2 linked regions of the Drosophila melanogaster genome follow. The protein of the gene in region 2 purifies or fractionates together with the protein of the main gene of each other region. This does not show direct contact. Each region holds a gene or a part of one and is shown on either strand. Other genes may lie near its edges.

The links. Proteins that work in one complex are often made in the same cells at the same time.
Region 1: the proteins of alphaTub84D (region 2) and ringer purify together in Drosophila melanogaster (affinity purification with western blotting, with the first as the bait; one study listed by BioGRID). This does not show direct contact.

What each region holds. Positions count from the first base shown.
Region 1 is NT_037436.4:16,352,866-16,362,229, reverse strand, and holds ringer (ringmaker), read left to right. Parts: upstream 1-2,801; 5' UTR 2,802-2,931; intron 2,932-5,781; exon of another isoform or gene 5,782-5,925; intron 5,926-6,038; exon of another isoform or gene 6,039-6,139; intron 6,140-6,193; 5' UTR 6,194-6,200; coding exon 6,201-6,596; intron 6,597-6,862; coding exon 6,863-7,045; 3' UTR 7,046-7,484; downstream 7,485-9,364. Other genes in the region: Pdh (photoreceptor dehydrogenase), read left to right, coding at 7,949-8,092, 8,149-8,550, 8,615-8,905; Tcs3 (Threonyl-carbamoyl synthesis 3), read right to left, coding at 9,017-9,259, 9,315-9,364.
Region 2 is NT_033777.3:7,528,857-7,534,029, forward strand, and holds alphaTub84D (alpha-Tubulin at 84D), read left to right. Parts: upstream 1-1,896; 5' UTR 1,897-2,402; coding exon 2,403-3,755; 3' UTR 3,756-3,876; downstream 3,877-5,173. Other genes in the region: Rtnl2, read right to left, coding at 99-391, 464-938. UniProt on the Drosophila melanogaster protein: Tubulin is the major constituent of microtubules, a cylinder consisting of laterally associated linear protofilaments composed of alpha- and beta-tubulin heterodimers.

The DNA.
Region 1 (9,364 bases), on a different chromosome or scaffold from region 2:
TCATTAAAAAAATATTTTATTATTGATAAAAAAGGTGGTTTATTGTACTTAAATAGAATTCATCAAATTTGTACAAGCACACGTATTTCATTAAAGAATAACCTAATAGTAATAATATCTGTCACATTTTAAAATAGTAAACAGCCAATTAATTTTTTCTCCAAATGTATCCATCAGATGCACTTCAATGCAAACGAGGAGATGCGAATGCGTCGTCGTGTCCACTTGTGTCGTTAACGGACATTGCAGCTCCGCCTTTCACTCCCCTTTTGGGGATCGACGCCTCGTGAAGGCGTTGTCAATTTGGTTTAATTGTGGCCAAGGCTGGAGTGGGCCCAAATGAGGGAGGCAGACCCTGGTTCTCCGCAGCGGGAGGAGCAATCGCTGCCTGGCATCTCCATCTGCATCTGCATCTGGATCTGCAAGCGAGCCAAGGGCCTTGGCTGGGTGGACCATCAAGGCCAAAGACCGCATCCAGACCAGCGTGTAATTGATATGCAATCGTTGTTGCTGCCACAGCATTGTGGCATCTCAGCCTCCTTTTTGTTCGCACACTGCAACGGGGCCACGACAACAACAGCAACTTCAACTGCAACAGCAAATGCAACAACTGTGGCAACAACCGACGACGACAACAACGGCATCTCAAGGTGAGTGAAGGCCAAGGGCCACATTTGGCCACAGCTTGGACACGGGAGTCATGCACTCCAGTGGCGAACAAAATGGGGGTCTTAGGGGGGTCATAAGTACCCTTAAAAATTATAATACTTGGTTAGATACATATGTATGTACATAAGAAATATATGTTTTATGCGAAGAGCTTACAAATATGACACAGAAAAGGGTTAATTAAATCGTTAAGTCCGCTAAATAAATAATATAATGTGAATTTTTAGACACCTTATAGTATACACTGAAGATATATACTTATTTCAACCGGACACTAAGAAAACCCCCTAAGAATATGTTTCCCATCCGCCTCTGATGCACTGCAGCTGCATTGGTATCTCCTGTTCCTCCTTCGCTGGTCATTTTTATTTTTAGCAGCGGGCTTATCGGATGCCTCAGATCTCTGGTGCTTAAACTTCGCTCCCGATTAGGAGGAGGAGGAGGAGCAACTGCAAGAACCACATTGGATTGGCCTTGACGGCTCGGCTGATAAGTGCGTTTTAATGTTAGCCCCGTTGGCACTCAGTTTCAATCAAAGCCCAATTCTCTACAACCATTCCAGCCTGGCTTAATGAGCTGGTTAGTTCTGGCCTGGAATTGAAGTTGGATTGGCAATATAGTCCGGTCCACTTGGTTCACTCCCTTTGTTCTGTCTCGAGTGGACTGTGCCCTGATTTGTGTACCACCATTGGTTCTTTGAACTGCCTTCGTGGCTAATTAAAGGTGCACTTAAGATAGGCCAGGTGGCAAGAATCATGTTTTTCATTTTTCAGGACTGGGAGTACTTTGATTTTATGTCCTAGAAAAAAAGAGCAAACGAATCAGTCTAAAAGGTATTTCAGCTGTAAAACATTCCATAAATATAGGAAATTTAACTCTTTCTAATTTTAATTAAAGAATATTCTAAACGTCATCTGGTCAATAAACTAAATGAATATTGTAGAATGAAATATTTAAATTACATATCAAACATTGTATATTAAATAATAATAATCAATGGACCTCTGTTTGTAATACCTAATGCTTAATTTACGAAATTAATTAGAAGTCTCCTCAGGGTATTTCGTTTTCCAAGTTAGTCTTTCAGTTGCTTTGTATTTTGGTTTTGGGCCAGGGCTATGACTTCATCGAGTTGGCCACAAAAACTTACCAAATTCTTCCGACCGTCAGTTCTCATAAATCAATGTCAAAGGTTTTTTTTTCGTTCGTTTAGGGTTTGTTTTGGGTTTAGGACGGGCTTGTTGTTTCAGTATGTGTTTAATCATTTTATGGAGTGCGAAGTAATTTCCTTATGATTTCCTATTTGACTTTTACTTTTTCCTGAATGTCCAAAATAGAAAAGTTCAAAGAACCCATTTACCTAGTAAGGCGGTCGACAAATCTTAACCGCTTGAAATAAGTACTCATTTGCATAGCTAAGCATGAGCTCACTGGTTAGTATAGCCCAAGTCACACCCCAAAAACACGTCTAAGTAAGCCCAAAAGATACACCCTTCATTATTCGAATTGTCTGGCACTTGTTGTGTGTGTTTTTTGCCCAACAATTTCACGCATCGTTTTTTGTTTTTTTGCGCTTAAACAAATTTACTGACTACAAACTCACTGTTTTAGTAGCTCAGACTGTGTGGCGAACCCCTCCCCTTCTCTTTAGACAATATAAAATCAGGAAAAGCTTTAAGCTTTATTCCCTAGAATTTCACTCACAACAAACCAAAATTTTGAGTGTAACTTGTTGGTTTGATAAGATTCTGGTGTGTAGCGTCACTTTTGTTATTCTGAGTTGTTTTTAGGTCTCGTTTGTTTCTTTTTCTTTCTGATAAATGGCTTCGTCGTGTGGCTTTCGTTGTTAGTTTTCGTGTATAAAATTTTGCGAAATGAAGTCATCGCTTGAAAAAAAATTGGGGGGTCAGTAAAAGTGTCTATAAGATCCAAATCGTTTTCCTTATCTCATTCAGAAAGTTTTGGAATTTATGTTAGCTCACCAACGATTTGCCATCTTTTCTTTGGATAAAATGCTAAGGAGGATTTTCCTTTTTGAGTTTCTATTTCACTCAGCGAAAGCTCACTCAAAACAAAAATATCACTCATACGCCGCTTGGGCCTTCGCTAGCCACTGGCTGCGCATTTGTCCAAACAGTTGAGTTTCGACATCGCCAGCATTCGCGCGTTTGCCTTAAAGTGATTGGAAAATAGCCGAGGAATAAAACAAATATTTTTTTGGAAATATATTCAAGAATTTTTGGAACTTTTTTAATAACAAATGTAAGTTGGAAACGTTTCGAGAAAAATAATCTAGTTCGTTGGATTTATTTTTTTTTTTAAAATGTTACTGTATCCTGCATCTATAAGCAGACTCCGAGCCAAGGATATTTTTTTTATTCATTTTATGAGTAGCAGGTTCATATTTTCAAGAGCAGATTTTGACCCACTTACCGCGCATCGCGTTCCCCTTTTCTTTTGTTCCTGGGGAGCACCATTGTTTTCGATTTCCTTTGGGAGGTCCTGATTTAGGCGCATTTTCCCCGCTTCCGTGTGTATATATGCGTGCATTTGAATCATCAGTCTGAAATTCCAGTACCGAGACCCCCCAGGAAACCCCTTCTCCAAACTGGCGCTTGCGCGTTTCCCAGCTCCCAGTGATGTCATCTGGGCTAGTGGTGATGTAGCTACACATTTCATACACATATTATGTCCCGAGCATAAGTCCCCCTCCTAAGTCAATGATTTCTCTATTGCGTTGCGTGCTCTATCAGAATGCCCATGACTTCCTGTTTTGTTCCCCCCAAAATAAAAGTTCTCTTTAATTTATGCATTCAGTCCGAGGTGCTAATATTTCTGTGTGTTTATTAACACACGTAAACTCATATGTGGTGCAGTATTTCATGTTTCTCCCCCCAAAGTCGTTTGTTTTATAAATATACATCGAGATGACCCAAATTTCGCTTCCTCCATTCGCTTTCCAGCGGTCCACTTGAGGTAGGTTGGGTTTATAATTGCGTTCCCCTCTCCAGGAAGTCCATTCTTTTCGAAAATGGCTATCTATAATATTCATTCATATTCCTATTCAAATTGTGGTCATATGTCATATATATTGCCCAATTAACTTTTACCATTTTGGTAGAAAACTAATTAAAATGTTGGCAACGAATTCGCAATGCTCGACTGGAGCTGGATGAGAACTTGTTCTCCAAATCGAAAATACAGAGAAAGAATCCAAAACAGAGATGGGAAATGAGAAGAATCGAATTATTTATGGTCTGACAAGCAAGCGGATTATTTCTGATTTAGACTATCCACGCTCCCCATCAGACTGCCTGATTTTCTGCCATTCATTTCACGAGGGGTATCTGCACTTTGAGTTGCCAAAGAATATTAAGAAAATAATTTATTTTGTGTGAATATAGTATCCAAGTCTGATCAGGGTATCATAGGATGAGTCTTTCCATTGTCGATTGCGATGATTTAATACTTCCGCTTTTTAAATTGATTACGATCATCTTAAACTGTTAGTATTTCCCTCGAATAATTATAATATTTAGATTTTTGTAAAACCTTTCAGAAAATTATTAGCAATCGGGCTTCTATTAAAAATCAAACTAATAACGTCAATCTTAGTGTAGAAAATTGGATCTAACAATCCGAACTATTTGCATTGGCTGATGGTAGTTAAAAAAGATTGATTTTACTAATATTACAAAATGAATTCTATTGTGAAAAAAAGCATTTTGAAAGCCACCATAGATAACCTAAAGATATTTCTTATTAGTTTTGATTTTACAGGTAATTTCCTAGTCGATAGCCTCTTGTTTTTTGCCATCTTAAAACTCTTCTTGCATATTCCAACTTCTTTTGTGGTGTAGTTTGTCAACTTTTCTTGTTTCCGAGTATTTATGGCTTCCAATTACATGTAGGGGCGGAGTAAAGGGTTCCATTAGTCTTGTCCGGGAACTGGGACCGGATAATTTGTATCGTCTTGAGCGGAGTTCAAGTTCAATGGCCCTGGTCTTGAGACCAATAAGATGATTAATGACCGGCAGACTTGCTATGCATGCAATGTTCCCAATTAACCACTCAGTTTACATAGATCATTTCGATGGATTATCTGGGGAATATGGGCTATTAAATTGCCTCACCCCAGAGCTATTCAAAGCTGATCCCAGAACAGCGTAATCAAGAGCCGGCGTAATGAGGCGATGACATAAGCACTCATTTTTCGATTTGGATTGCGAATGGGGCTAGGGGGTGGTAAAATAGTATTTGACATGCTCGACGGGCTGCATCAAGGTCATGGTGATTCTACCCCGCCCGTCCACTTCGATTTCGATTCGCATCTGTGCGGGCACAAGCCGTGGCATCATATCTCACGGATAGAGGACTCCAAACTGGTTGCAGTCGCATCTTATCGCCGCATTAAATGCTTGCCCAAACGGCTTCCATCTCTCCTGGGGCTCCAACTTGCAACCTTAAGTGGTGCGTAATTAATGGCTCCGCCAATAAATGCTCACGTTTTATTTACTGTTTATGGAATGATGGGGATGGGTCTGAGGATTCGACTTCGTGTTGGGTAGCCTGTAAACAAGAGGACAATTTATGCTACAAGCAATTTTAAAACTAAATTATCATCCAAATTTATGCCACGTTCGGTGGGTAACAAATTAAGCGAGGAATTTCTGGCGATGCGTAAAATATTTATTGCTCTTTTTGTTATTTTAATAAGCGTAAAAGTGATTCATTTTAATAATTTTAGGGTATATCTATAACTGTATAGCTGTACCGTAAATACCTAATATCGCCTTAGGATTATTAAAACCCATGATAACTGCATGCTAGAGACTAATCATAAAAGATCTAGCAAGCTAGCGCTAAGTTCTGACCCCCATAGAGTAACCCATGTGAGCCAAACCTGTTGACTATTTGTTTTGTGTATTTGGGTTTGCCAAAAGGCGATAATTAGCTGCGTTGGGAGATGGGGGACCCAAACCGATGACGCCATCTAATGATTGAGTCTCTCCCAATTTGCCTTTAGATTTCCATCTCTCGAAATCTAGCTGAGAGAGCTTTGGCCTAGCTTTGGGTGGGTATAGCTTTGCCTTTGTCCAGTTCAGCATGGGTTGTGATATCATTGCGAAAGCGAAGTGAGTAAAGTACTGATAAGGTGTTCGCAAAGATACGTCTGGGAATAGCACCTACATATGTAGATAGTTGACAGTGACGGACAAGACCCACCGCAATGTTGGTGAGCGTTGTGGCCCACAGGTGAGGAACTGCGTAGGTGACAACCGTAGTCAACCGATTACGCAGGAGCGGAAAAGTTGCGTGTTGGAAGAAACCACTACAAAATGTTAAACAAAACAATGACCTATCAGGCTAGGCATATTATTAATAATAAATGATCCTCAGTCCATCTGTAAAATTGAAGGTTCTTTGTCCGTAGTTGTTTATTTATTACTGGGCATCTATTAAAACACCTGTAGGGTTCAGTAAAGGTTAAAAAAATATATATAATATTAAATATATTTTTCAGATCCACCATGTCCGAGGTAGCTGCAGCAAATGGAAGCCCCTCCCCAGCGCCAACTCCTGAGGTGCCCGCTACCGAGTTGGCCCAATTGGCGCTGGAGGATGAGCCCAAGGTTAGCTTTTCGGATCAGTTCAAGGCCTTCTCCAAGTTCGGGGACTCCAAGTCCGATGGCAAGCTGATAACGCTGTCGCAGAGTGACAAGTGGATGAAACAGGCCAAAGTTATCGACAAGAAGATCACCACCACGGATACAGGCATCCACTTCAAGAAGTTCAAGGCCATGAAGATCTCGCTCAGCGACTACAACAAATTCCTGGACGATCTGGCCAAGACGAAAAAGGTGGAGCTGTCGGAGATCAAGCAAAAGTTGGCCAGTTGTGGAGCTCCAGGAGTTGTGTCCGTTTCGGTGGGTTTGATAAATTGGTTGTGAAAAATATGATCTATATAAGTCAAATGATTAAGATTGATTTTAAAGTGTAAAGAACTTCGAGAAGACCATTTAGATATGACAAAATTTAAATGATTTTTTTTTGACTCATTTAAACTATCAATTGTTAAAGTAGTTTTCTTACAGAAGTTCTTAAAAAATATCTTTTTAAACCTTTGAAAGTCATAACCATATACTTTATGCCTTTATTGAAAACCTAATCAACATTTTGTTACCATTTTTAGGCTGGAAAAGCCGCAGCTGCCGTGGATCGATTGACGGATACGAGCAAGTACACCGGTTCCCACAAGGAGCGTTTCGATGCCTCCGGAAAGGGCAAGGGTATCGCGGGCAGACGGAACGTGGTCGATGGATCCGGATATGTGAGTGGCTACCAGCACAAGGACACCTACGACAATGCCCACTAGATGGGGTAACCACCGTTTTTCACCCTCTCATAAATCTGTATTTCTAACTTTTGTGTTTCCCTAGTTAATGTCTCCCAATCTAATTTATCTTTGTGTATATAATAAGTTTGTGATAATTTAAGTGCTTACAAATAAACTTATATTTTTGATTATAATTTTTGAGTTCCTTTACTTTGTTTATCCTTCTTTGTCCTTTGATACGTAAAATTTTGAAGCGGCCCAAAAAGAGTTCAAAAGTAAATCCAAATCAAATTTATATACATTTCATGGCAATCAAACCCATGTTTGGTAGTCTTAAGATAACAGATAAACTTTTAATATTACAATTTGTGAAAGAAATTTAAATATCACATATGGAAACCAAAGATATACGACATACATATGTAGATATATGTTATGTTTTCACAAGAATTTTGCTTGAATAAATACACTTTAAAATATTTGCATTGCTAAAATTTGTATTGGGAGGAAATACAATTTAAAAAACCAAAATTTTAAAGCAATTAAGATGGTTTTGTAAATCGAAATATACATTTAATTGTAAGATCTTTGAAAAATGCCCAACATGTGTACCTTCTTAAAAGCAAAGATTTCACTGGAAGATAGTTATTAAGAGATCATTGCTTTATCTACACAATGACATTATCACTGATGCAAAGCTGACATCGAAAAACCGGAGCGGTGTGAAGCAGACTGAACGCTACAGCGACCAGATGGGGATGGAAATTGATATATGGGCATAAGTTGCATAATCCTAACCCAGAGCAGGTGGAAAACTAGCTATTGATTGCAGTCGAACCAAAGTCACTCAACGATATATCATATAGCCCTTGGGAAATAGGTATAAAAGCGGCGAACATTACAGCTCCAAGTCAGCAGTGCAACTGAGGAGCTCAGTGCTTGATGAAGCCACAAGGAATACCACCGACTACTACACGAATCAGCCAGACCAAGATGTCCTTTCGCGGCAAGAATGCAGTGGTGACCGGTGGAGCTGGAGGCATTGGACTGCAGGTGTCCAAGCAGCTCCTGGCCGCTGGAGCAGCGGTTGGTTGTTTTACACATAATTACGTGAAGTAATTTCTAAAGCGAGTGCTTCCTAGAAGGTGGCCATCATTGATTTGCAGGATAATCTGGAGGAGTTTGTAAAACTTAGGGCCGCTCATCCCACCCAAAGCGTAATGATCATCAAGATGGATGTGGCGAACAAGAAGGGTGTGGAAGCCACCTATGAGGAGATAGCCAAGACCTTCGGTAACATCGATATTGTGGTCAATGTAGCCGGGATTTTTAACGACAAGGATGTGCAGAGGACTCTGTTGGTAAATCTCGGTGGAATCATCAATTCCACACTGAGTGCATTGCCCTACATGGGCAAGGATAATGGCGGCAAGGGTGGCATTGTGGTTAACATGAGCTCGGTGGTGGGTCTGGATCCAATGTTCATCATTCCCGTTTACGGAGCCACCAAGGCTGGCATCATCAACTTCACCCGGTGCTTGGCGGTAACAAGAATTTCTTACATATCTTTTGAATTAGGTTTTTCATTTAAGTCTCTTTCTTAATTAGAACGAAAAGTACTATCAACGCTCGGGCATCAAGTTTGTGACTGTTTGTCCTGGAGCTACAATGACGGACATGTTCACCAACTTTACGGAGAAGATCATCTTCCCGGAAACGAGTGACGAGACCTATAGGATCCTGGATAGGCTAAACAAGCAGAGTGCCGCTGATGTCTCTCGATGCATTCTGAATGTCCTGGAGAAGGACAAGAACGGAGCTGTCTATGTCATCGAGGGTAAGCGCGTTTACCCTTTGGAAATTAAGCCCCAGTGGACGGGCAAGGAACAGGCCCTTTAAGTGGGTTAATTCGTTCACATCCTAAACACATGCATTTTACAAATATGAAGTTATTATGGACACTAGTTATTTAATAAACAAACGATGCACAGAAATAAGTTCTTGTGGTGATTAGTCATCCCGCCAGCTGACCAGCACTTCGTCCGTTCGAAATCGCTGAGTCACATAAGATTCCTCAAAGGGCATCCTAGTGCCAGAGCGGAACATTTCTGCACCAGCATGGGCAATCATTAGTCCGTTGTCTATGCAGTAACGTTCATCAGTGGCAAAGAGTTTGCCTCCGCGTTCCTCGCACATAATACGCATCATCTCCTGGAGTCGCTCATTGCAACCCACACCTCCAACTATAAGGACCTGAAAAGAAGTCGGTTAACTCATAGATTAATTTCGGAAAACTGTTGCAACCAACCTCATTTGAGCCGCAGTGTGCCATGGCGCGCTCTGTGATCTCCACCAACA
Region 2 (5,173 bases):
AGTATATGAGTGGAAAATATGTAGAATATATATTTCCACAACATTAATTTTGAACAATAACATCAAAGAGGGTGGATTCTTATTCATATGAATATAGTTTAGCGAGCCTCAACTGGCAAATACCGGTGCTCGCAATCAGGACAACGACATCCTTTGTGGAGCTCTAGGAGATTTCGAAGTGGCTCATTATCGCATGGCTCATATAGTACTTTGCCCTCTTTGGATTCCTGACCCTCGTATGCTGACTCCGGCGGACACTCTTTCTGAATACAAATCGGTTTTTCAACGTTCGATTTATCTATCTTGCATTTACGGAACTTTCGGATCTGGACATCAACGAATGGCTTATACGACTCGTACAGTTTTGGTACGGTAAAAATAAACAAGTGTCCTATAAAGAAAAATTATTTCAATTTAATGTAACTTTATAGATAAAGTAAAGTAAGACAACATATGCACATACCAAATATAAGCAAAGTCAATCCGTTGAAGCAATCGCCCAGCAAATTGATGCCGCAGAGCAAAACTAGGAACTTCAAGGAATCCTCCCACTTTTCCACCAGCAACAATTCTATCATACGGTTTAAAATTAAATTAATATGGGAAACTGCTTTCCCGGCCAGATAAAGAGTCTCCTCCCGGGGGATTTCTATCTTCGGGTGAGGATAGAAACGTAAGATCTGATCTTTGTTCTCATCCTTCTTCCAGATACTCCAGAACTGTACCAAAAGGCGATGGCCAATAGCTGCTATGAGAACTGTGATCCCTACCATGCTTATCACACTGATCACCGAGTGGACCATCACATCCAGCAGGAGGAGCAGGATGCCCGTGAAGACGATCAAAGTCTTTCGGCTATTGCGCCATAACAACAGGTTCTTCAGATCCATAAATATTTGGCTGGAGTCCTTAGCCTTTATCAAAGTATCGGTACTCATATTTTCGAATGTCTTTAGAGCACGTTCGGATGCTGGTTGTGAGATCAGAGCAAATAATGTTTTAAGTTTTCACAGCTGACTAATATTTCAAAGGTCAACCGAATAGACAAACTAAAATGATTTCAAATTGTCAGGTCGGAATGTATTTCGATTCACCACAATGTTTGTGTCTTGCTTCAATTCAGTTCACAGTTAAATTTGAAAAGTTTCTCGACATTGTATTTCTCAAAATGAAGAAAGCGAAGATATTCTAAAAAATATTTTTTTAAATTTTACTACATTTACCTAGCTAATACCGAATGCTTTGCGCACATTATTCATCCTTTTTTTTTAGCTAACTAGCGGGTTTAAATAGTAGTTTTTACTTACGCATCTTCAGAAAATCTTCAATTGTATGAAAATATGAATAATACACAAAATAGTAGCAGATTCCAAAAAATGTTAGCCTTTTGACACGAATAGCACAGACTGGTCCCAATATAAAGAAATACATCTGTGGATTATTTCAAAGCATACTCATTTCGCGCGCAATTAATCGATAAGTGCGCAAAATGGATCGATAACTGCGCAGTACTGTACTGCTCTCGGAAATTACTGCCTTAAAAATATACCAAGCGGGTCAAAAGAGTTCGTTGTGTTTACGGACGGGTTGCTCCATTCTTTAAAAATATATGAACATAAAAAAATTACTTACTTCTTTTATCTCTATTTCAATTTATTTTGTTCACTATGACCTACTGACTTAATGCAAAAATGCACTATTCGGTTTACATACTTTGTTCATTTTGGTAAATAGTAATAGTAGATGTTCTAAACACATGTAAAATTACTTAAACGGAACATTAGTAATTTGACGCTCTCTTGAAATAGGCATTATTAATTGTGTTAATATGCAGTTCACTTATACAAGGCATTGGTATTATTGAACTGTTTGGTATCTTTAAATTTCCCACCGGCGGTCACACTTAATCTACTGAACAAGCGTGCTTGTGCTAAATAATTTTACTGATCTTTAAATCTCGTAAATACCGCCATTTAGCCGCATCTGAACACTCTTGCCGATGGTAATCAATTATTGGCCAAGAGCTAGCAATGTTGTGTAAAAATCAGCGTGAAACTAAAGCCGAATTCAAACAAACAAACCAAAAAGCGGCCTGACAGGGTTTTTCGTGCCCCCAGAGCAAAATCGATTGGTAAAAGAAACGCGTTTCGTATAATATAGATAGTTATCTAATATCTAATCTAATATCTGAGTTGTTGTGAAGCCCTTTTTCGTAAAACAGAGCTACTGGCGATTTACGTCTGTTCGAAATCCATTCCCGGGCATTCCAACGTATACGCCCGCAGAGTCAGACCCCAAAATCCGTAGGCTTACACTTTTTCCGTTGATTTTCCGTAGTCGCGTGTGAGAAACCGAAACTCGAAACAAGAAACCCGGAATCGGAAACCCCATTAAAAATCAATATGCGCGAATGTATCTCTATCCACGTGGGCCAGGCCGGAGTCCAGATTGGAAATGCCTGCTGGGAGCTCTATTGCCTGGAGCACGGCATCCAGCCCGATGGCCAGATGCCCTCCGACAAGACCGTAGGCGGAGGTGATGACTCGTTTAACACCTTCTTCAGCGAGACTGGAGCTGGCAAGCACGTGCCTCGCGCCGTGTTCGTGGATCTGGAGCCCACTGTGGTCGACGAGGTCCGTACTGGAACCTACCGTCAGCTGTTCCACCCCGAGCAACTGATCACCGGTAAGGAGGATGCGGCCAACAACTACGCCCGTGGCCACTACACCATTGGCAAGGAGATCGTCGACCTGGTGCTGGACAGGATCCGCAAGCTGGCCGATCAATGCACCGGTCTGCAGGGCTTCCTCATCTTCCACTCGTTCGGTGGAGGTACCGGCTCCGGCTTCACCTCGCTGCTGATGGAGCGTCTCTCCGTGGACTACGGCAAGAAGTCCAAGCTGGAGTTCGCCGTGTACCCAGCTCCGCAGGTGTCCACCGCCGTGGTGGAGCCCTACAACTCCATCCTAACCACGCACACCACCCTCGAGCACTCCGACTGCGCCTTTATGGTGGACAACGAGGCCATCTACGACATCTGTCGCCGAAACCTGGACATCGAACGACCCACTTACACTAACCTGAATCGTTTAATCGGCCAAATAGTGTCCTCGATCACCGCCTCTCTGCGATTCGATGGAGCCCTAAATGTGGACCTCACCGAGTTCCAGACCAACCTGGTTCCTTACCCCCGCATCCACTTCCCGCTGGTGACGTACGCTCCCGTCATCTCCGCCGAGAAGGCCTACCACGAGCAGCTGTCGGTGGCCGAGATCACCAACGCCTGCTTCGAGCCAGCCAACCAGATGGTCAAGGTGGATCCCCGTCACGGCAAGTACATGGCCTGCTGCATGCTGTATCGCGGCGATGTGGTGCCCAAGGACGTGAACGCCGCCATCGCCACCATCAAGACAAAGCGTACCATTCAGTTCGTGGACTGGTGCCCCACCGGCTTCAAGGTGGGCATCAACTACCAGCCACCCACTGTCGTCCCAGGCGGGGATCTGGCCAAGGTGCAGCGTGCCGTGTGCATGTTGTCCAATACCACGGCTATTGCCGAGGCCTGGGCCCGTCTGGACCACAAGTTCGATCTGATGTACGCCAAGAGGGCCTTCGTCCACTGGTATGTTGGTGAGGGCATGGAGGAGGGCGAGTTCTCCGAGGCCCGTGAGGATCTGGCTGCCCTCGAGAAGGACTACGAGGAGGTCGGCATGGATTCCGGTGACGGTGAGGGCGAGGGTGCTGAGGAGTACTAGAGCGGATAGGTGTGCATCCCTCAAAATCTTGCTTATTTTCATACGCTCCCACTCGCATGTATAAATTTTCTGCGATAATGTATAGCGAACAAAGAAGAAAATAAAAACCCAAGAAAACACCAATTTATTAACCACGTTTAGTAAAAGGCACGAGAAAGTTAGTACTTTAAAATTAACTTTAATTTTATATATGACCAAAAGTCATGCATTAAAAAGTTGTTCACGTGGGGTACATCTGTATATTATTAATTTGCTTCATTTTTATTTTGTTGGTTGGTTAATGTCCTCTATTAACATAGGTTATTTATAATTTAACAGTCCACAGGAAACCGAACATCATAAAGGTGTCTTATCTAGGATTTCAACACCTGTATACAGTAAGATTAGAGAACGCTCTACCTGGCTAAACGGTAAGGTTTTACCAGGCTAGAAACTAAAACTAGAAATCCACGTATGCAAGTCGATGGATCCAGCTTTCCATATCATTCTCCAATCATCTAGGGTGTCCAAATAATATAAAGTTTTTCTTTGCTGCATAGAATTCAGCCAATAAAATTGAACAGAGATCTATCCATATTTTCATTCATTTCTATTTACTAAGCGAAGATTCATAAAAAAAAAAACCAATAGAAATAAATTTCCAGCCTTAATAATTCTTGAGATCTCGCTAGTGATCCTAATGAAGACAAATTTATATCCTCAATAGAGTTTGATTTAGATTTTTCGACGTGTAGCGAGAATAATTATTTCTTCTTTAAGAGGTATAAGGATATAAAAGCAAAATTTAAAATTCCGAATTCCTAAAGACATGCAATTTCATATTTCCTGTTAAAAATGATAAAGGAAATCTTACCAAGGTAAGATCGATTCACCTAGGTATACAAAACAATTTATTTAGAAACATATGCGTGAAAACGTTTATTTAAATCCGTTGGCATTAGTTCGCAAATTTCCAGGCACTTAATAAAATCCTGTGGGCCAGGTTACAATCATGTATCGTTAGCAGTGTTCTGACGGCAGTGCGTGTCGTCTGTCAATTAAATGTCAATTAAAGTAAAACATAAAACTCTTGGGACCTTGCTACCTGCTGGATAAAAACGTTGTCTGAGCGTTGGGTTCCGAGATGGTATTTAATATACCCATTCCCAATATCATAGAGGTAATAGCTGGTAAGTCCTAATCCTTCACATGGCCAGACAGCCAAACATGGGTAATCGACTCGGCCTTGTAATCCCGGGCAGGAAAATACATACATTATAGGGCCAAAAAGTATCCTTCTACCTGATACTCGAAATTACTTTTGCATACATTGTATAAAGTCTTACCATAATTATACCATTATAAATAATATGAAAATTGAAATATTTATTAAAATTGTGGGCGGAATGCCTTTTTTAATTGATTGAGCTCTTTTAGTT